Linked DNA regions of Drosophila melanogaster. The protein of the gene in region 1 purifies or fractionates together with the protein of each later gene. This does not show direct contact. Each region holds a gene or a part of one and is shown in the gene's direction. Other genes may lie near its edges.

Region 1 (3,733 bases):
CCTCCAGACATTCGCAGAGCCGTACCGCGAAAGGCACTCCTCGTAGAATCCATAGGATCGAGTGGCACTGCGGCACTCATGATTGCCCCGTAGCAGGCTAACTTGTGCCGGATGTCGCACCTTGAGAGCAGCTAGCAGAAGAAAGGTCTCCACGCTGTTCTTGCCCCGATCCACCAGGTCACCCAGGAACAAGTAGCGATGCTCCTGCACCGAACCGCCCAATTCCAGCAGGTGGAGCAGATCCTCGAACTGACCGTGAATGTCACCGCATACGATCTGCGGACTCTGCAGGCTCAGTAGATTCGACTCGCCGACGAGCAAGTCACTCAACGAGCGGCACAGCTGGCGAACCTCCAACTCCCTGGGCAGGCGGACCGGCACATGGCGCAGATTTTCCACCAGACGATCCGCATCATTCATTGCCTCGGGGCACAAGGCAGACATCATCTCTATTCTTAAGTCGGCGACGTCACTGGGCAACAGTGATGGGAAGGAAACTATTTACATATTGTGTTAGTTTATGAGCCAATAGATGAGTTAAATGATCAGGTGGCTAGGTTACAAACTATTTCTACAGTGCAAGCATTTAGTTCTCTCAATTATTCATAATTTAAAATAATAACAAATAACTAATACAAACAGTTCCCATCACTGTTGACCAACAAATTTGGGAGAATGCAAAACCACCGAGGCATTAGGCATTTGGCCAAGAGAAAAATGATCATCACTGACAACTATGAAATGTGAGGGGGAATAGAACAAGATGGATGTGGGCGGGGCAGGTGGTGATGCGAATCGAGGAGTTATATAAACATACCAGCGAACGGAATTAGTTGCATTTAACTTACATTGCTTTCAACGATGCGGGCCATGGCCAATGGAAAATCAATGCAGTCGCGGCTCAAATCCCTTATATAATCCGCGAATTGCAACGACACCACGCACTTAATTTTTATCTAACGAAAGCGAAAAGCCGACTAAACACTGATATGCAGACTAATCGGCGAGATGGTGAAAGCAATGTTTTCATTTCCACGCACTCTCCGTTTTAAGGAGAGAGCGCAAGAGAGTTTCTCTTTGCCTCTCTTGAACACACTATGATATCACCTAGAAAGAAAAGAAGAAAGAGAAGAAAGCCTATAATCAACAGAATCTTCAGACACACAGTAACTAACTAGTTGCATATATAGATTTTATAGAGATCAAGTGCAAATTTTAATCAAGTGCAAATTTTAATACCAATATTCTCGGCTACAAACAAAGCCGCAGTTCCAGGGCTGGTAAACTAATAGTGATAAAAACCAGTTGGCAGCCCACAAAGCATCGCCAAATAAATGGATTTTGTTATTAGGGTGATTCCTGCTATTCAAACGCCTTCAAATAATATATATATATATTCTTAATATTCTTAATTAGCAATTTGTATTATTATGATTTGTGACATTGGCAGCTATTAATTTAGGAGCTCCCACTAACTACTGTCAGTTATACATTAATTTGTAACAAAAATAACAAAAAAAAAATAAGCTGTGACACATAAAAAGTAAAAAATAAGTGTATTGAAACGTCATTGTCTGCCGACATCCCTTTATTATTTTCCATTATTTCTGTTCGTTCCTTTGATTTTTGCGTAACATATTATATGAAATTCTAAAAATATGCCACTGTGTATGTGTACTCCGTTAACTTATAAAAAAGGGGGTATTAGATTTAATATTTTTATAAACAATTGAAGAATTTATAATTCTTTATTAACCAGCATTTCTCGTGAATAGCCCTATTAATGAATATCGATATATATTCGCACAAGCACACGCGCCCACGAAACTATCGCCAGAGGTTTCTCACCTCTAAAAACCGATTTTCACTTCCTTTCTAAATCGCACGTTGAACAGAAAAGATGGCGTAAGTGTAAATCCAGATTTTAATATGTAAAAGAAAGCAACTAAACATTGGGTACATTAATGAAATTTGAATTCTAAGCGATCCTGTGATCAGTGGCAATCAGAAACCAGCTTTTTAGACCTTTTCCATGTCCATATCAGTTTGGAAATGATTGCAAAAGAAAAACGTGGTTTTATGTGCCAAATAAGCAACTAATATGTGGGCTGCCTTCATTTGCGCATTAGTCCGACAGTCAAAAAAAGATAAACAGCCAATGCTTGCAGTGTTCATTTGCCTTCCATTTGTTTGATAATTGGTTCAATCTTGCAGGTCGAAGGTTTCGCGTGATACGCTGTATGAGGGCGTCAATGGACTCCTGGAGGCTTCGGCGAAGAAGAAGCGCGGCTTCCTCGAGACGGTGGAACTGCAGATCGGCCTGAAGAACTACGATCCCCAGAAGGACAAGCGTTTCTCCGGCACCGTCAAGTACGTTGGCTAAGTCACCTGCGCACGTGCTTGGATAGAAGCTCCCATGGGAGTTGAGTTCATCACGTCATCAGGTAGTCGAGGACATGTGGCTGTCACATCTCGACGGACCTGCACTCAGGGTCTTTAAAATTTGAGTAGGTCTCCAGCAATGGACACCGAACCCCCATTTTCTTAATAACTATGAAAACGTGCTCCTCTGAGAGCCTTGTAAGTTTTCCATGAGGCCCCACTTATATCTACATCTATTTGAATCCACAAAGCACTGGCTAATTTATGGTTACTTTCTTGTCATCCCACAGGTTGAAGCACATTCCTCGTCCCAAGATGAAGGTGTGCATCCTTGGCGATCAGCAGCATTGCGACGAAGCCAAGGCCAACAACGTCGACTTCATGGATGCCGAGGCTCTGAAGAAGCTGAACAAGAACAAGAAGCTGGTGAAGAAGCTGGCCAAGTCCTATGATGCCTTCCTGGCCTCTGAGTCGCTGATCAAGCAGATTCCTCGTTTGCTTGGCCCTGGCTTGAACAAGGCCGGCAAGTTCCCTGCCCTGCTGTCGCATCAGGAGTCTATGATTGGCAAGATCGAGGAGGTTAAGTCGACCATCAAGTTCCAGATGAAGAAGGTGCTCTGCCTGTCCGTCGCCGTCGGCCACGTTGGCATGAAGTCCGACGAGCTGGCCCAAAACGTCAACTTGTCGATCAACTTCTTGGTGTCGCTGTTGAAGAAGAACTGGCAGAATGTGCGCTCCCTGCACGTCAAGTCCTCCATGGGACCGCCCCAGCGTCTTTACTAGATGCGCATACTTCATTTTTCTTACATCTTGAAATAAATAAGATCCTACATTTTTGTAATGTAACTTAATTTGGTTTTATTTTAGTCCTTATCTCTACAGTATTTATGTATATGAGAAGTCGGTGGTTGCACATCGATTTCTATGCCTTATATTTCAGTGGAGCTTATAGTTCTGGCTAGGAAATCTCTCACTTCTAGCGCCGCATGAGACTCGGCGTCCTCGCTGACTGAATCTGACAGCGGCTCTGCCCGGAATTTGGACACGTCCACCGAGTTGCCCCACTCAAGCATGTGTGGTTCGCTCAGTTCTTCCAGTAGATTGTGCAATACTGCGGCTGCTGTGATGATGCACGAGGCCGTATGGAAGCTAATGTCCAGGGGTTGGCTAAGGAAGCTCCAGCGGGACATGAGGCGATGCAGTGCGCAGTCACTCAATTCCTGCAGGTGCTCGGCAACCTCGTTGAAGTCGTGCTCGTGCGGAGCTGTCGGATCAGTATAGCGCTGCAAAAGCCAGGGACGCAGTGGATAATTCTGGTACACCGGGGCCAAGACAAAGGCCGGAACTAGTC
Region 2 (4,895 bases), on another chromosome or scaffold:
ATTCAAAGAAATCTAATTATTGAAAACAATAAAAACTTGCTTCTTCAAGAAACCAGAAAAAAATATGTTTATACCCAGAACTAAAAATGGTGGATTTCTGTCAAGGGTATAATTAATGTATTGCCTGCGATGTCAAATTTTGAAAGCATTTATTATACTCAAAAATGCAACATTTGATGCACCTTATAAATGTAAGACAACAAAAAACAAAATGCGCACTAAAGCCACGACAACTCAATGCATAATTCGCAAAACGCTTTCTTCTCAACCAAGCTGCTTTAGAAAGATGGCCTCAGATGAAAACCCCTAGATACTGGCGATGTATAGAAATCGCTTAATATATATATATTACAAAAGTACTATAAATAAAACCGCACTGTGTTTTATTACTCTAAACGGTTTATTGATAGGAATAGAACAGGAGGTACTAAGGCACAGGCTTGTCTTGTTCTTGATCCACATTTTGGGATTCCTTTGTAGCTTCGGTGCTATCTAATTCCACTGCATTTGTGTCCTCTGCGCTTTTCGCTTCTGTATTTGAATTCACTGCCTCTTCATTCGAAGTTTCTTGGGTGTTATTGTCGTCGGATTCCTTGGATGCCACCTGTTGTCCTTCCTCAGGGCTACTTTCTGCCTTTTCTTCTGTGGGCTCTTCCTCGGAATCTGTGTTACTATCCTCTGAGGCTTCCTTAGCCAGTGGCTTCTTGTCCTCTCTCGGCTTTTTCGCCCTCTGTTTTCTCTTCAACCGTTTGGCTCGTTTCTTAGCAGTCTTTTCTTCGGCCGCGCGTCTGTTGTCGTCCAACTTCTGCTGGTAAGCTTCATCTGCTGCTTCGCGGGCACTCTGGTTCTGGATGTTCTTCTGGCGGGCGTACTCCTTGCGTCGCAAGTGGCGGTACACATGGAACTCGCCGGAACCCGCTCCAGCACTGCTTCCCATCACATTCCGCACGAACGTGGGCACCGAGGACATGAAGTCCCGTTCGCGACGCTGCTCCGGTATGACCACGGGCTTATCCTGGCAATAAAAGGTTTATTAATATGAATGTCCACCCAGCTTTCCAATGCAAACACATACCGGATTCTTCATGAGCTTCTCCAGCTTCAGCCTCTGTAGATCTGTCGCGGTTTTGATGAACGGCCGCAGAGGCTTGTCCTTCTCATCGGAATCGCTTTCTCCAGATCCCGCATTCTTTTTCTTTTTCTTTGCCTTCTGTTCGGGCTCTTTTACCAAATTCTTTATAAGCGACATGTTTGTTTGGTTAAAAACAGTATTTTATGTGTGGCTGTATTACAAGTCGTAAAAAATACACACCGAATTAAAAAAAAAACTTAACGGGGACTATGCTTGATCTGTAAAATTGTATGCGTCAAATTAGAGTCGATAAGTTAGCGGCGATGGCGGAACGGTGGAATTTCAGGAAAATTTCAATTTTTGAGATAATTTCATAACAGTAGGTCCAGCTATGAACCAACCCATCCTTAAAACAGGCCCTTTACATTAATTAATTTTTAAAAATTGTTGAATAGAAATTCACCTTCAAATAAAATAAAAAAAACCTACCCATGTTACAAATTTCACTGTTCCTCAACGACGCTAATATGACGCACTTTATAAAAAGGCTTAAAAATTTGTTTTAAATAAAAATAAGTTTGTATTGTGCATAAATTACCTTTTATTAAACAGAACACAATTGTTGTTAAAATAAATGCAATCATATATATTGGTATCGTTTTTGCGTGTGCATCCCTATCACTAGTTGTTGTCCATCTGCAATTATACACAGCAAATAACTAAATACTAATTAAAATACTGCAACCAAGCCAATGCCAGCGGTATATTTAAATGTTCACCCGGTGGTCACACTCTCAGCCGTTAACAACATAACGCGTTATTTTCTAGCGAATCGGCCGATTTATATCCTCGATAAGTAATGTGCTGAAAAGAACAGAACTAGCAAAGACCCACTTGTCATAGATGCGTACGAGATCGTTAACCAAACAACAATCACGTTCGCAATCGACCAGAAAGACACTGAAAATCGAACCGAAATCACCCCGAGCTCGGCGAGCGGTTAGAGTTGTGTAACACGGACGGACGGGCCCAAAAAAAAAAGAAACGTGAACTAGAACTCTGTGTCTCCTCCGCTGGTTTTGTTGAGTTTTTGGCGAGCAGGTGAAACAAAAGCATGGCGCTTGAAACGGAGGCGAAGAATTCAAATGCAACGGCCACGGGCGATGCAACAGCAACAGCAACAAAGGCCAGCGGCAAGGCCAAGGAGAACAACAACACGGCCGGCGGCAAAAAGAACCTGAATCCGAATTCGAATCAGCAGAATTCGAATCAGAACTTGGTCAATGGCAATGGCACGGCTGCCGACGGGCCGGCTGCGAAGAAGAAAGGTGCGTTTAACTTTCCGCCTACGCCCATGTTCAACCAACCAATCAACCACCCACCCACCCACACACCAACCCATCACCACCTCCTCTTAGCTTTGCTGCCTTGGAAACTGCCTCAATATATTATTTGCCACAAAAGCCAATCACATAACATTTTTAACATTACGTAATGGGCTTTTTCTTCCCTATAATGCCTTAAAAGCGGCGCCCGTTGTCTATGGCTGCCCCTCCACCCCCTTTTACGAGCCTTCCCTCTCCCCCTCTCTCCATAAACCGCGTGGGTTACAATTGCAATCGTAAATGTGTGTGTGTGTATTATTGGAGTTAAGTGCGTGTGTGAGAACTGCAAGTGTGAGGCTCCCTATCTCTCTCGCTCTTTCTCTTCCTCTTGGCATGGCAACGCACATGTTATTAACCCGGCAACGGCGACGAAATGTTCATTAACCCCCCGGGCGGATTTCTTGTTGCGTTTAACCTACAATTAACACGTGCGCGGCCCGAAATGCATGCACTTAACACACGCAAATTGTTCGACAATTATGTAAATCATGTTTTCTATCCGTAGACGCATCGCTCTACACTTTGTCTCCTTCTCTCCGAATTCCTTGCGGTTAATGAACATTGTACTTATCACTTTTGCTTTCTCCTCTCCCCACTCTCTTTGCCTCTCTCATTCTCTCTCCCTAGCTCTATCTCTATGTATCTCACAGTGCTGTAATTTAGTATACGGCTGTTGAAATTAGCATGGTCGTGTTAAACCCATTCCGTTTTCCTGAGAGATCGAAAGGAGATTGGATTATTCGGTGGACTGTTCGTTCGTACGGACTCCGAACGAACCCGGCCCCTTTGGCCTTATCAGCTCGCTTTTCTCTTTCTGTTTGTTTTTCTACTGTTTTGTTGTAAATGTATGTACATATGCCTTTATATGTATATGCAAGCACACAGCTTGCCGGCGAACACAGACAAACTGAGCGACAAAAGTGTGCGGACAGTATTGTTATGTAAAAATCGGAGCCTGGAGGTAGAGACACCTCTTTTTAAATTATTATATATTGCCAGACAATTTTAGAAAAGAAACGTGTAACGTATTTGCATTACCTTTAATTCTGTCACCATTTTTCAAATAATATCAAGGTTTAATTATTAAACTAGATATAAACCACTATTTATAAATTAAGAATGGTAAACATTAAATTCTAACATAAACTTGGCAGCATTGCTTGGAAATTTAAATTCCTAAGAATAATCTTTTGTTTTTAAAAACATACTAATGAACCATAATAAATAAATAACGGATTTATACAAGATTCTTCTGAGAGACATGGAAACAAAAGTCGGTCCAAAGTTCACGTTTCTCCCTATACATCGAATAGGTTACACAATGCTCCATATGCCTTTCCCAATATTGACTAACAACAAATTACTTCTTCATCGCCCCATGTAGGCAAGAAGAACCGCAACAAAAGCCCAACTGAACCCACAACCGAAGCCGTTCTGAGCAACGGACACGCCGAGAAGCCCACAGTGGTGGATGCAGTTGAGGACAATGCCGATACCAATGCCAATGTGGAGAAACCGCAGGAAGGAGGAGCACCGGATGCTGAGGCTGATGGTGATGACATTGATCTGGACGCTCTGCAGGACATTGGCATCACGGTGAACATCAGCAGTCCCGGCGCCGATCTGCTCTGCGTGCAGCTGTCCAGCATGGAGCTGGTGCAGGAAATCCACCAGCTGCTGATGGACCGCGAAGAGACGTGCCATCGTACATGCTTCTCGCTGCAGCTGGACAACGTGACGCTCGACAATTTCGCCGAACTCAAGTCAATCAATAACCTTGAGCAGGGCTCGACGATCAAAGTGGTAGAGGAGCCGTACACCATGCGGGAGGCCCGTATTCATGTGCGCCATGTCCGTGATCTTCTCAAAAACCTTGACCCGGCCGACGCGTACAATGGCATTGACTGTACTTCGCTGACCTACTTAAACACGATCACTCAGGGTGATTTGCTGGACAAGAAGAGGACGCGACCGGACTCCGTGGATTGCACTCCGCCGGAGTATGTGACTCCGGGTGTAAGTGATCCGCCAATTCTGCCATTGCATCCAAATGTGAAGAACGCCAAGGGACCGCAGGCTCTCAAGGTACTGACTACATCCGCCTGGAACCCGCCACCCGGTCCTCGCAAGCTGCATGGTGACCTCATGTATCTGTACGTTGTCACCATGGAGGATAAACGATTCCACATCTCAGCCTGTTCCAAGGGCTTCTTCATCAACCAGTCGACAGACGACACCTTTAATCCCAAGCCCGACAATCCAAGCCACCTCAGCCACTCGCTGATCGATCTGCTTTCCCACATATCACCATCGTTCCGACGTGCCTTCCAGACCATCCAGAAGCGACGCACCATGCGTCATGCCTTCGAGCGTGTAGCCACGCCCTATCAGGTGTACCAGTGGGCAGCTCCCATCCTGGAGCACACAGTGGACGCTAT
Region 3 (4,773 bases), on another chromosome or scaffold:
GCCCCTATGAATGTTGTAATGTCGGGAAGCACTCCTCTGGCTACCAAAAATTAGTAATGTAAATAAAGGAGAGGTGGGCTAATTTGATTCTAAGGTTATATATTTCTTTTTTATTGCATTTGTTTTCGGTTTGGACATCATATAGTGTCCAAATCCCGAAGTTCATTAACTAGTCTCGGAAACCTTTTTGTTCACCTGTTATGTTCTTTTTTAATTTTTAATAACCCCCTTACTTTACGAGTGAAGAGTATAAAAGAATTATAAATACTTTTTCAAGAATTCAGGTTAATATAATTATTCGATTTTATGATAGAATCTAACGTTCCGCTAACCATTTAATACAGCAAACCATATTTATTTTCAGATCAAAAATGACAACACACGATGAGGCTCAGTCATACTTCTCACGTCTTAATTCAATTTCCGAAAAAATTACCTGCGATCTCAATAAAGTTAAATCTACATACAACCAAGACGCTTGGCTTAAATTGACTTTAAACGAACAGGAAAAAATATTGAATAACCAATTAATAGATCCTGTTATATTTTCTAAGTACTGTCATAAGACTAAAGAAAACTATGCGGCACAGGATCCGTACGAAAATACTGAAGTTAGTAAAAATGATTACCGTAAATTTTGTTTCAGAGACATTGTATATTTATATAACGGCCAAGATTTACACACATATAATTATCAAAACGTTGGTTTAAAAATATTACGCGATGAAAACACCGGAGATTTTCAAGATGAACATTCGTTTCCATTTTCTTATCGAACCAAATCACAAATTAACATAGTATTAAAAGAATTTGATGATATCTGTCTTGTTGAAACTCCATTAGGCGTAAAAAAGGCCATTCATTTAAAATTGAAGACAAAAGATTCAACCAATAAAAAAATACCAATTCTCCACCTTAATTCTAATGATAAAACCGGCGTTAACACAACGGAAAGAAAGATTTCCATTCATGAAAACTTCTCAAAAACCCAAACTGTTTATATTGATGAATGTATTGAATCTAATGAGAAAATGCAACTGCTCGTTAAATGTGGATCGAAAAACAGTGTGTTAAACGACTTGTCTGATTATGAAAACGAATTTAAAGATGCACGTCAAGACGAAAATACAAAACTGTTATCCCCTGAACTAAAAATGCCTAAGGGTTTCGATTTTCTTAGCAATTGGTAAAACCTATTTAAATCTCATAGATAGTCGAAGGAGAGCCGATATTTTAGAACATAATTTCATTTGATTTCAAGGCAAAACACCAAAACATACACATTAATATTAATCGGTCGTAAGTCCAAACTTTATACATTACATTATTAAGGATTCTTTTTTAACATAGACTTAATAAAATAAGTTATGAATTTAATGGATTGCCCAAACCTGTTTCAATTCTCACTTCAATAAGGCATTCAAGCTTTAAAATTTATTAATGCATATGTTATCTCACTGTATTGTTTTAATCCCTTAAATTTCATTTGAATTGTTAGAAATGGTCGAGAGTTATATGAGTTGGAACTTGTTTGAAACAGCTCTGTTTTGAATTAATTTAAATTATATCAGCTAATTTATTTTAATCAATTAATCCTTCTGTTGTGTACCCTCTATCTGACCTCTTCGATGTGAACGGGTCACAGCACTTATTTTAGGCAGTTGTGTAAACTGGGTATTACCTAAGATTGATTAATATCGATTAGTTTAAGAAAATATCGGACATCTACCTAGAAGAGTCTGTCGTGATCCAGGCGAAGTGCGAGTGAGAGCATCGTATAGTTACTTTTTATTTAAATTGCGTGTGTTAAAATGAATTAGCACGAGTAGTGAATGTTTTTGTGTGCGTAATCTTTCGAAAACAAGCGCTTTGTCATTAAAACGAAAAGATTGCCAACAGCCCACCACGGATAGAATGTACGGAGTAATGCAGCTAAATTGAAGTAGAATAATTTTAATGTATGGTTGAAGACGTACTCAGTACGATTAAAAGCGAAACTTTCTGACATAACCTAAGTGTGCATAACCTAAATGGTCGCAAAAACCCAAGCGTTTAGTTTCGGACATACGCATGTGTGTATCAGTGCAGAATAAATTCTGTTCGCTTGTGTATCGTGCATTGGAAAAGTCTATATGTACATATGTTCCAGTCAAGAGTTGCCACGCTTTAAATCTTTTACATAATGACAAAGCAATAGGGAATTTAAATGTGTCGCATTTGCTTTGAGGTTTTCCACACCAACAGTTAAAATTTAGTAATAGTGTAATTAAAAATAAAGTAAGCATTTTGCATATTTGCATTAGTCTATACTCCACATACCTTTCCATTCCGTCTTTAAATTTTGACTAGGTGGCAATATTGCAAGCAGGAATATCTGTATGGGTTTATTTAATACACTAGTAACTGCCGTCCCCATCGTCGAACGTGCGCAGAAATTTATATTCAATTACATCGAATTATAATTATTGTTGAGTCTAATCAGTTTTCGCATTCAAGATTGTTATTAATCCCAGTTTATTTTGTGAAATATGAAAAACTATAATTGATTGTCGAATGTGTGTATGTTTTACAACACATACACACTTTGTGAACTCGTCAAAGTGGCTTGACATGCATACACACAAAAATGCACATATATTTACATATATAGAGAAAATCAACTTCTCGTTCAGTAAAGGCAAAAATTGTTGCAAATATTCGGTGAACTATTAGCGTATACACAAGTGTTCAATTTTACTATAAACGCATATTCTGGCAATAGATATTAATTTCTAATTTCTGTTTGGTAGGTTTTAGTTAGATCTCCATTTTGTGACGTTCTCAGCTTTTCGCTTGTATTTCTACACATAGGGTACAAGACACGCGAATATACTAAGTATTGTACAATGACTTCTCTACATATGCACTAGAGTACTGAAAATGTATTCATACAAATGTATATACATGTATATATCTATCGCATTAGTCTTTTTGCCAATACTTGCATATATACAGGTTGTGTAAATACATTTTAAATTCTAAGTTTATTTGAGCATAATTGCAAGTGCGAAATTAGGAAAGGGAGACATAAAATAGGGTGCTTCCGTCAATGTCTGCCTGCCCAGAGTTGACAAATTCATTTTACTTGTGTACATATGCATATGTATATTTATATACCATTACAGAGTTGTGAATTTAATTGTTTTATTTTTTGACATGCATTCGTTTTTCACACAGGAATTTGTCGTTAATGTGGGTGGGGATTCTGCCGGTTGGGCAGCAGACCTGGTAGGTCAGCGATCGCGATGCATATTTCATTTTTAAAATTCTTTATGTACATACTAAGTATACATGTTTAACTCCTGTCAAATGACTCCCACTCTTATATACCCATATGTATGTCCTCAGACTTTTTGAATCGATTATAAAGCTTAAATTTTTATGATTTCTCCTTCAGAATTTTAACTGATGTTATGCAGTTAAAAATCTGTAAAGAAGATATTGATTAAGCCTACGAAAAGCTGATCAGAATTAAAAAATTTTTTAAGAACAACGAACAATAGAAAAACTAAAAACAAACGTGCACAACGTAGGGGTCACTAGAATCTGCATGCTTATTCTCAACTGTCTAGCTTTTATGTCGAAAACGCTTCCGCTATGTAACATACTTTAGAACAAATCTGGTATACCATATACCATTTTACTCTATTAATAATGTGTATAAAGCATAAACGTATCACGGTGATTAAGTTTATTTATCCTGTGTATATACAAGAAAATAAAAAAAGAACTTAGCAATTTGATTTAGAATGAATATTTTGTAATAAAAATAATAAATGTTTTCTATATTTCTACAGAACACGGAAAGAACAAGGATTCAGATTAAGTCATTCCTTTTCGATTAAATTAAATAACTTTTAAAAATTGCCATAAATGCTTATGATAATGAAGTTAAAGATCAAGTGGATGTTGGAATAGTAAGGAATGCTACTTTTGAAGCTGACAATCAGTTAGAACACTTGAGCACTATGCGTGAAGCCCTTTTTTCCCAAGATGGCTGGGGCTGTCAGCATGTTAACCAGGATACTAATTGGGAAGTTCCCAGTTCGCCAGAACCAGCCAATAAGGATGCACCCGGTCCACCAATGTGGAAGCCAAGCATTAACAATGGTACTGATCTTTGGGAGTCCAATTTGAGAAACGGAGGTCAGCCGGCCGCACAGCAAGTTCCAAAGCCGTCGTGGGGTCATACACCATCCTCTAACTTAGGTGGAACATGGGGTGAGGACGACGATGGCGCCGATAGTAGTAGTGTGTGGACTGGAGGAGCTGTTAGCAACGCGGGATCCGGAGCTGCAGTGGGAGTAAACCAAGCCGGAGTTAATGTCGGTCCAGGCGGTGTTGTTTCGTCTGGCGGACCTCAGTGGGGACAAGGTGTCGTTGGCGTCGGACTTGGATCAACTGGTAGGCCTAATATCTATTAGAATTAATGAAGTTAAGCGCAAACGATCAGATAAAGGCTCTAGCTTTTCCCTCAAAATGTGACTAACAATACATGATAAAAACATAAAGTGTAGTAATTGAAGTTGGAGCCTTATCTGGGGAATTACCTATTCTAAGTTCTACAGAAACTTTTATTTCATTAACCCGAAATACTTTTATATTTCTGCTGTTATTTAAGGAGGTAACGGGTCAAGCAATATAACTGGATCGTCTGGAGTCGCAACAGGTAGTAGCGGAAACTCCAGCAACGCTGGTAACGGTTGGGGAGACCCTCGTGAAATACGCCCTTTG
Region 4 (7,932 bases), on another chromosome or scaffold:
GCGCCACCGCAAGAGCAAGCCCACGCTCAACGAGGAGCTGCACCAGCTAGTCAGCCTGCAGATGCAGGCGCTGGAGAAGCAGTGGGAACAGGAGCACGGCGGGCGGCATCATAAGCAAGTCGACCGACAGGAGCACCGCGGACGGTATGTTGAGCAATCCCAGCAAAGGACGCAAACGGAGCGGCAACAGGATCACAAGGGACGACGCGATAAGCCAGCGGAGCGGTTTCAGGAGCACCAATGGCGGCACAACGAGCAAACGCAGCACAGGCAGCGGTACCAGGAGGACAGAGGGCGGCATAACGACCAAATGGATCGTTTTAAGGAGCACAAGGACCGAGGACAGCGACAAGAGCATCGGGACTGGCGCAACGAGCGCAGAGATTGGTACCAGCATCATGATGACAGCCGGAAGAGAAGCCGCAGTCCGAGCAGGCATCGACATGGCGATAGGCGTCGGGAGGAGCGAGAGCCACGCGAGAAGCAGCACAATAGGCATCGCTCCCAAACCGCTCGTCATTAGAGCGGCATGTGATGGTGCCGCTTCCATTGGCAGCGAAACTGGTGGCCATTACATGGTGCTGTGGTCATTTGAGTCCAGCCGACTGTTTATTTGGGTACTCAGATAATGAACAAAGCAAAAAAAAAATCAGATAATTGTGGTCTATAATCCTGGCTAGCTGCGGGGAGCGTCTACTTGGTGGAGACGCGCGTGCGCTTGTTCCAGGCAAAGTTGATGCCGTAGTTCTTGACGCGCTCCTTCTTGGGCTTCGCGGCGCCGTCGACGTACCAGCGCCATCCGTTCCGTTCGCAGAACGTGATGGCCTCCTCTGGGGATCCGAACTGCACGTTCATGTTGGACAATGGGTCGCCGCTGGAACACGAGACGTTGACCAAGGTTGCCATGGCATGGTGGACGTGCCAGCTACTCACCTGGAGGCCCAGCCCATGAGCGGATTCTCCCAGCGCTCGCGGTTGTCGAACTCGATTTGCCAGGTGTTCACGTTATCGGTGCCGCTCTGCATTGCGTTCTTGGGCGGAATATGGATGCGCACACGGCGCTCCCGAATGTGCTCCTCCGGAACGCCGCTGATCGGGCTGAGATTGACGGCAGTCGGCACGGTGATCTTGCCACTCAGCTTGTTGCGCTGCTCCAGCTCTTCGGGGCGGGCCAGGGCCGTCTTGGGGTCCAGCGGACCGCCGTCCGTGGCGGTGGATGCCCAGCGGGCAGCGGCTGCCCTGTTGGCCTGGTACCTGCGGTGTCAAGATGCGAAAGTGGATAATTAGAGGGCTGCAGATTTGCCAGGTCGGATGCACTTGCTCCGGCCAGGCGGGGGTACCTACAGCTGCAGGGAGGCGGTGCTTCTGCACATCACTTGGCGGAGGGCCGACATTTCGCTAGGCGTTTGGGGCTACACGGCAGAAATCGGCTTCAAAATACGAATTACGTAAAATTTGGAACACAAGCGCTTTTCGATTGGGAAAACAGCTGTTCGCCAGTGCCAGTGTGACCAGGCGAGCGGTGAGTGTTTTTATTCTAATTGGAAACAGTGTGGCCCCTCGCCTTGGATGCGATGCCACAATAGTTCAAAAACAGTTTTCTTCTTTTTCACTTCGAACTTCGCAAAAACTATGAAATGCTGTTCAAGTGGTAAAATGAACTTTAAAATGAAAATGAATGAAATGAAATACACTGATGATGAACTAGAGAAGTAACTAGAACTAAAACTATGCTATTTGTAAGCCAACTGTTTAAATGATGAGCATTGCATTTGCCCAGTGCTGCCAGATATGTAGGTGTTCTTAGCTCCTTTTAGCTTAATTTCACCATTAGCTGATTATTGGCAAAGGAGCCCGTTTCGCTTATCGATTCTAATATCGATTTGAATCGGTCAGGGTCCTTATTCTTTCAGTTATTCATCGAACTGCGGAATGCCGCCGGCCCTACCACATGGCAATAGCGAAACGTTGTGGCAACGCCTCGCCTACTTGCAACTTTTGTGTCAATCAATACATGTTGAAAACAGATAAAGACACAAATTTTTCAGTTCATCTAAATTGCCACTGATCCAGGCAGAACAGCACGGCGGCAGAACAGTCCCATCCAGAACAGCGACATGGGCGTTCCCAAGTTCTTTCGCTACATCAGCGAGCGATATCCGTGCCTCAGCGAATTGGCGCGGGAGCACTGCGTAAGTAAAGCTGCTAGGTCACGTTATATGTTGCCATGCACCGTACGGTTCCTTTGCAGATACCCGAGTTCGACAATCTGTACTTGGACATGAACGGCATTGTCCACAACTGCTCGCATCCGGACGACAACAACATACACTTTCACCTGGAGGAGGAGCAGATATTCCAGGAAATCTTCAACTACGTAGACAAGCTGTTCTACCTGATCAAGCCGCAGCGCCTCTTCTTCCTTTCAGTTGACGGGGTGGCTCCACGGGCCAAGATGAACCAGCAGCGCAGCCGGCGATTCCGGACGGCGCGCGAGGCGGAGCAGCAGGAGGCCAAGGCGGCCCAGCGAGGCGAGTTGCGAGAGCACGAGCGCTTCGACAGCAACTGCATTACGCCGGGCACCGAATTCATGGTGCGTCTGCAGGAGGGACTGCGCGCCTTTCTCAAAACGAAGATTTCGACGGATCCGCTGTGGCAGCGTTGCACCGTAATCCTAAGTGGCCAGGAGGCGCCCGGCGAGGGCGAGCACAAGATCATGGACTACATTCGGTACATGAAGACGCAGCCGGACTATGATCCCAATACACGACACTGCCTTTACGGCCTGGACGCCGATCTGATCATTCTGGGCCTCTGCACCCACGAGCTGCACTTCGTGGTGCTGCGCGAGGAGGTCAAGTTCGGGCGCAACGTCAAGCGCACCTCGGTGGAGGAGACGCGCTTCTTCCTGCTGCACCTGGGTCTGCTGCGCGAGTACCTCGAGCTGGAGTTCGACGCCCTGAGAACAGACGAGCACAAATTGGACATTGCGCAGCTTATCGACGACTGGGTGCTGATGGGCTTTTTGGTCGGCAACGACTTCATTCCCCACCTGCCGTGCCTGCACATTTCATCAAATGCACTGCCGCTGCTCTACCGCACCTACATCGGCATTTACCCGACCCTCGGCGGCAACATCAACGAGAACGGCAAGCTCAACCTGCGCCGCTTGCAGATTTTCATATCGGCCCTCACCGAGGTGGAGCTGGATCACTTCAAGGAGCACGCCGACGACTTGAAGTACATGAACAACAAATCAGAGGCGTTCGACATGGACGTCGGCGAGATCACCGAGTCTCAAAACCTCGACTCCGATCTCGGAGCCCTCATCAACAAGAGCATGCTGGTATGAACTCTCTGCACTGACCGCCATCCCGTCATTTCCGTCCGCTCAATGCCGCCTTCCCATCCACAGCTCTACGATGACGACAGCGAGGAGGACTGCTCCGACGAGAACGCGGTTCTTCTGAAGGAGTTCCAGAACTACAAGCGAAACTTCTACCGCAACAAGTTCAAGCGTGATCCGAATGATGAACTGATCGAGGAACTGTGCCACCACTACGTCAATGCGCTGCAGTGGGTGCTCGACTACTACTACCGTGGCGTGCAGTCCTGGGACTGGTACTATCCCTTCCACTACACTCCATTCATCAGCGACCTCAAGAACATCGAGCAGGTGGAGATCGCCTTCCACATGGGCACGCCCTTTCTGCCATTCCAGCAGGTGAGCTGAGCACATTTAGTTAGCACCGATAACTTTCCTAGCATCAGGCTTACCATTTCTTAAACATAAACCAGAGCCACCAATTTAGACTATCATTTGCGTATCTCCTTTCTAACATATATCTATCTCCCTCTAATCCAATGGTGGTGCTAGATCATTTGGTTAAAGCAATCTTCTCAACCAAATTATCCATGTATCCATATATCTGCACACATACTAGATTTACTTAAGCCATCTGTCCAATCTTTCATATAAAGCTTCTGGCGGTACTGCCGGCGGCCAGTGCAAAGCTTCTCCCTGTCGCCTACCACGACCTCATGCTGCTGCCGACCAGCCCGCTGGCCGAGTTCTATCCACTGGAGTTCGAGAGCGACCTCAATGGCAAGAAACACGATTGGGAGGCGGTTGTGCTGATACCCTTCATCGATGAGGGTCGGCTGCTGGCCGCTATGCTGCCATGCGAGGCTCAGCTGTCGCTGGAGGAGCGCGAACGCAACCGACACGGTCCCATGTATGTGTACAAATACAGTACGGTGGCGCAGGGTCCCATGCCAGCGTATCCACCGCTGAGGGCTCTTCCCGTGCTCTACTGCACGGAGGTGGCCAAGTGGTCGCACGAAATCGCAGTCAATCTGCCGTACAGCGTGTGCATCGAGCTACCAAATGCGGCGAGAACCGTTTTCTTCCCGGGATTTCCCACCATGCAGCATCTGCCCTTCGATGTGAGTGACGCCGGGACACATGCATAACGCTCGCCATGTCCGCCATGTCTAATATGCTTGCTATTCTTTTCCAGTTCGAGCTGCGCAACGACCGCGTCAAGGTGTTCGAACAGGTCAGTCGCAACCAGAACATTGTGCTAAAACCACGCAAGCGCCAGCTGGAGGACACACTGACGGCGGTGGCCTCCCAGTACCTCGGGAAGGTGATCCACGTCGGCTGGCCGCATCTCGTCAAGGCGATAGTGGTGCGCGTGGCCACGCGAGATCAGCGCGTCGACAGCGAGGGAATCACGCTAAACGATTCGCGGCGTTTCGACTCGGAATGCAAGGCACTGCAGGAACAGTTGAGTGTGAAGCCGCCGTCTGGCCCTGCATTCACACTGCTAATGCTCCATCTTCCCTTTCCTCCTTCTCCTCCCACGACAGCTTTATCAATCGTATGGGAATACAGTTTGCCAACTATGATGTGCTCGTCTATGTGCGCACCTTTGCCGGCAATTCGACGGAGTTCCGCGACAAGGGGGCATTGATGGTGCGCGACTCGTGGAGCAGCTCCGTCACCGGCTATCCAGCCCAGGGCGTGGTGGCCGATCTGACTGTGTGGGAAAGAATGCGCAAGAATTTCCTCAACGTGGAGCACTACTTCCCCGTTGGCAGCACGATCTTCTTGATCACGGATCCGTATTACGGCAGCGAGGGAACTGTGCAGGACCCACGGCTGGCCTACACCAACGGCCGGATTCAAGGTAAGTTCGTCTCGCCATGTCCTTGACACCCCATCATCATTTCATCTCTGCAGTCAGCATCATGGTGCGACCGGAACCGAAAGTAAATGCGGCACGTCAGCTGCAGGAAGAGCGGGACCGGGACTATCTGAGCACCTTCCAGGTCTGCAACTTGCTCCGAATCAGTGGCCGCACCCTGGGACGCCTAAGTGGCACCGTGTGGGTGGTGCTCGGTCCGCGGCGTCAGAAGATGGAAAACGTGACCAAGCACAACATTGGCCTGCAGCTCAAGTATCCGCGGCAGAACGAGGAGCGTGCCGGATACTGCTTCCGCACGAACAACCAGTGGTACTACTCCAGCCTGGCCGTGGATCTGATGCGCAACTATTGCCAGCGTTACCCAGACGTTATCGACTTCTTTGGCGACTCCAACGATCGCGCCGAGTTCGTATTCGAACAGGACGTGTTCCCCAATGCGGTTGGCCATCGCCGCGTCGAGGAACTGGCCAACTGGGTGCGCCAGCAGCCGCACATGAAAGTGGAGCGCATCTCTTGCGGCTCCAAGACGGTCTGCCGCGAGACCATCGAACTGCTGATAGCCGCCGTCGACGACCTGCGCTCACTGCCCGTCAAGCACGTTAAACTGCAGGTGAAGCCGCACTTGCTCATCAAGCCCAATGTCACACTGCCAGATGTCTACCGATCAAAGCGCCCGGTGCGTCTCTTCGATCGCGTCGTAATCGTACGCACCATTTACATGGTGCCCGTGGGCACTAAGGGCACCGTGATTGGCATTCATCCCGTTACGGACCCCAACCCGGTCCGCCTGGAGTGCGTCCATGCTGTCGACACGTTCTGCAAGGTGCTGTTCGACAGCCCCGTTCCGAACTGCAACAACATCCATGGCATCGCCGAAGACCGAGTTTACAAGGTGCCCGAAATTGCCCTGGTGATCATCAAGACGGATGGTAAGTGGATTTGGCTGCATAGCCTACAGAATCGGAGGAGGCACATACATAGCAATGCTCCCACTTCCTCTCCTTGCAGAGGAAGGAAAGAAGCAGAACGACTGCGAACTGCCGGTGAGGGATCCTCAGCCGAACCAGGCACAGGACGAGCCAGTCCGCGCGACCAGCAGTCGCTATGTGACCGCCGCAGGGTCCACCTCGGTCCCGATCACGATGAAGACCCAAATTAGCGACGAATTCGTCAAGACGCGTAGCGATCCGATAGCCCGTACGGATTCGTACAAGCCATCGTCGGAGCCAAAACCGGTGCCGGTGCCGGAGCAGATTACCAACTGGCGGGAACGCGTCAGTACGCCAACAAACAAACCGCAGCCTGCGCCAAATAATTGGCGCATAAATCGGTCTTCATCACGTCAACAGGGCGGTAGTATTTTTGTTGCTCCGCCCACAAAAACTCCTGATGCAGCTGCAAGCACTGCTTCCACTGCATTCACCGCAGCCTCGTCCGCAACGCTGACTCCTCTGGATCAGACCTTGGCGCTCATGTCGGTTTTGGGCGTGGGTGAGGACCAGAGCTCGCCGCCACTCCAGGAGGCGGTGCAGCAGCAACGTCCGCCACTACTTCAACAGCAAAGAGCTCCGTTTCCCGGACAAATGCCCGTAACTGCTTTCAGCCCAGATGTGCCACCCAACCATGTGTTCACATAACTACTTTTCATTGCAGAATCTACCCAAGCCACCGCTCTTCTGGCAGCAAGAGGCGCAGAAGCAGGAGGCGCTGCAGCAGGAGGCGCAGCAGCAGGAGGCGCAGAAGAAGCAGCAGCAGGCGCATGCGCAAATGGAGCCTGAACGTATCAATAGCCAGCATTTCTACAGAAGCGGCCAGACAGGAGCGGCGTTGAATCAGCCGCCATTGGGTGCTCCATCAAAAAGGCAGTGGCATGAGTGGGTGCACCCGCGCATGCAGCACGCCAACGCATTCCACGCTGGCGTCAACAATGGATATCAGATGCGTCCCAAAAAGAATATAGCTGCGCAGAGCACCTTTAACAACAACGTGCACATGCACCTCCAGCAACCATATTACCCGAATCAGCAGCAGCAGCAGCAGCAGCAGCAGCCACTCCAGCTGACGGAGATCAACAATGCGCCACCGCGATACTCAACGATCCAAGATTTTGTGCCCATACAGGCGTACCGTCCCAAGAAATTAAATCGCGTCCAACCAGCCGGTCGTCAGGACGTCGATGCCACCAAGAATCCTAGTCGTTCGCCTGTGTTGCAGCAACCGACGAACGAGACTATAGACACAAAGGCCAGTTCTAGTCTTCCGGTACAATCAGCAGGCGAACAGGTGATTGGACTGATGCAAACGCTTGAAATTAAGGTAAGCATTGGCTACAAGTCAAAGCCTTGATTACCGAACTAATGCTTTCCTCTCGGCCGACAGCAGCCGGCTGCGTCGCAGTCCGAATCTGATGGGGTCTCAACAGGCAGTGCGAACGCGCCCACAGCAACGACATCATCCCAGGTAATGGAGGAGATAGAGATAGTTATTCTGCATAATTTACTCATTCCATTTACTCGCTTCTGTTGCAGGCGGTCAACCGAAGGAAGCATCGAGTGCCTCGCATCGGAGCCAAGTTCGACTTGGAATACATACTGCCCGACTCCCCGCATCCAACTTAAGAGCGAACAAATGGGTATTTTTAGGTTCAAATCCCACCTAGCTGAAGAAATGCAACGCTATTTGGATCTTATATCACCTTATTTCTATCTCTCCTAGTCTGTGC

The links.
Region 2: the proteins of RpL10Ab (region 1) and clu purify together in Drosophila melanogaster (affinity purification with western blotting, with the first as the bait; one study listed by BioGRID). This does not show direct contact.
Region 3: the proteins of RpL10Ab (region 1) and gw purify together in Drosophila melanogaster (affinity purification with western blotting, with the first as the bait; one study listed by BioGRID). This does not show direct contact.
Region 4: the proteins of RpL10Ab (region 1) and pcm purify together in Drosophila melanogaster (affinity purification with western blotting, with the first as the bait; one study listed by BioGRID). This does not show direct contact.

What each region holds. Positions count from the first base shown.
Region 1 is NT_037436.4:11,820,986-11,824,718, forward strand, and holds RpL10Ab (ribosomal protein L10Ab), read left to right. Parts: upstream 1-1,865; 5' UTR 1,866-1,900; coding exon 1,901-1,905; intron 1,906-1,998; exon of another isoform or gene 1,999-2,139; intron 2,140-2,214; coding exon 2,215-2,370; coding exon of another isoform or gene 2,371-2,383; exon of another isoform or gene 2,384-2,580; intron 2,581-2,672; coding exon 2,673-3,165; 3' UTR 3,166-3,226; downstream 3,227-3,733. Other genes in the region: CG5946 (uncharacterized protein), read right to left, coding at 849-872; CG11597 (uncharacterized protein), read right to left, coding at 1-447; CG32095 (uncharacterized protein), read right to left, coding at 3,312-3,733.
Region 2 is NT_033778.4:16,184,737-16,189,631, forward strand, and holds the start of clu (clueless), read left to right. Parts: upstream 1-1,847; 5' UTR 1,848-2,186; coding exon 2,187-2,400; intron 2,401-3,152; exon of another isoform or gene 3,153-3,418; intron 3,419-3,841; coding exon 3,842-4,895. Other genes in the region: CG8441 (uncharacterized protein), read right to left, coding at 428-1,015, 1,076-1,249. UniProt on the Drosophila melanogaster protein: mRNA-binding protein involved in proper cytoplasmic distribution of mitochondria.
Region 3 is NC_004353.4:657,572-662,344, reverse strand, and holds the start of gw (gawky), read left to right. Parts: upstream 1-1,736; 5' UTR 1,737-1,916; intron 1,917-2,361; exon of another isoform or gene 2,362-2,785; intron 2,786-3,836; 5' UTR 3,837-4,007; coding exon 4,008-4,443; intron 4,444-4,660; coding exon 4,661-4,773. Other genes in the region: CG46466 (uncharacterized protein), read left to right, coding at 372-1,190. UniProt on the Drosophila melanogaster protein: Required for gene silencing mediated by micro-RNAs (miRNAs). Silences both polyadenylated and deadenylated mRNAs. Required for miRNA-mediated translational repression and mRNA decay. Not required for miRNA target recognition.
Region 4 is NC_004354.4:19,485,999-19,493,930, reverse strand, and holds the start of pcm (pacman), read left to right. Parts: upstream 1-1,919; 5' UTR 1,920-2,117; coding exon 2,118-2,192; intron 2,193-2,251; coding exon 2,252-3,346; intron 3,347-3,415; coding exon 3,416-3,724; intron 3,725-3,981; coding exon 3,982-4,446; intron 4,447-4,520; coding exon 4,521-4,789; intron 4,790-4,872; coding exon 4,873-5,192; intron 5,193-5,245; coding exon 5,246-6,139; intron 6,140-6,218; coding exon 6,219-6,799; intron 6,800-6,863; coding exon 6,864-7,526; intron 7,527-7,589; coding exon 7,590-7,670; intron 7,671-7,738; coding exon 7,739-7,828; 3' UTR 7,829-7,932. Other genes in the region: CG12204 (uncharacterized protein), read left to right, coding at 1-523; ND-18 (NADH dehydrogenase (ubiquinone) 18 kDa subunit), read right to left, coding at 694-874, 934-1,254, 1,345-1,394.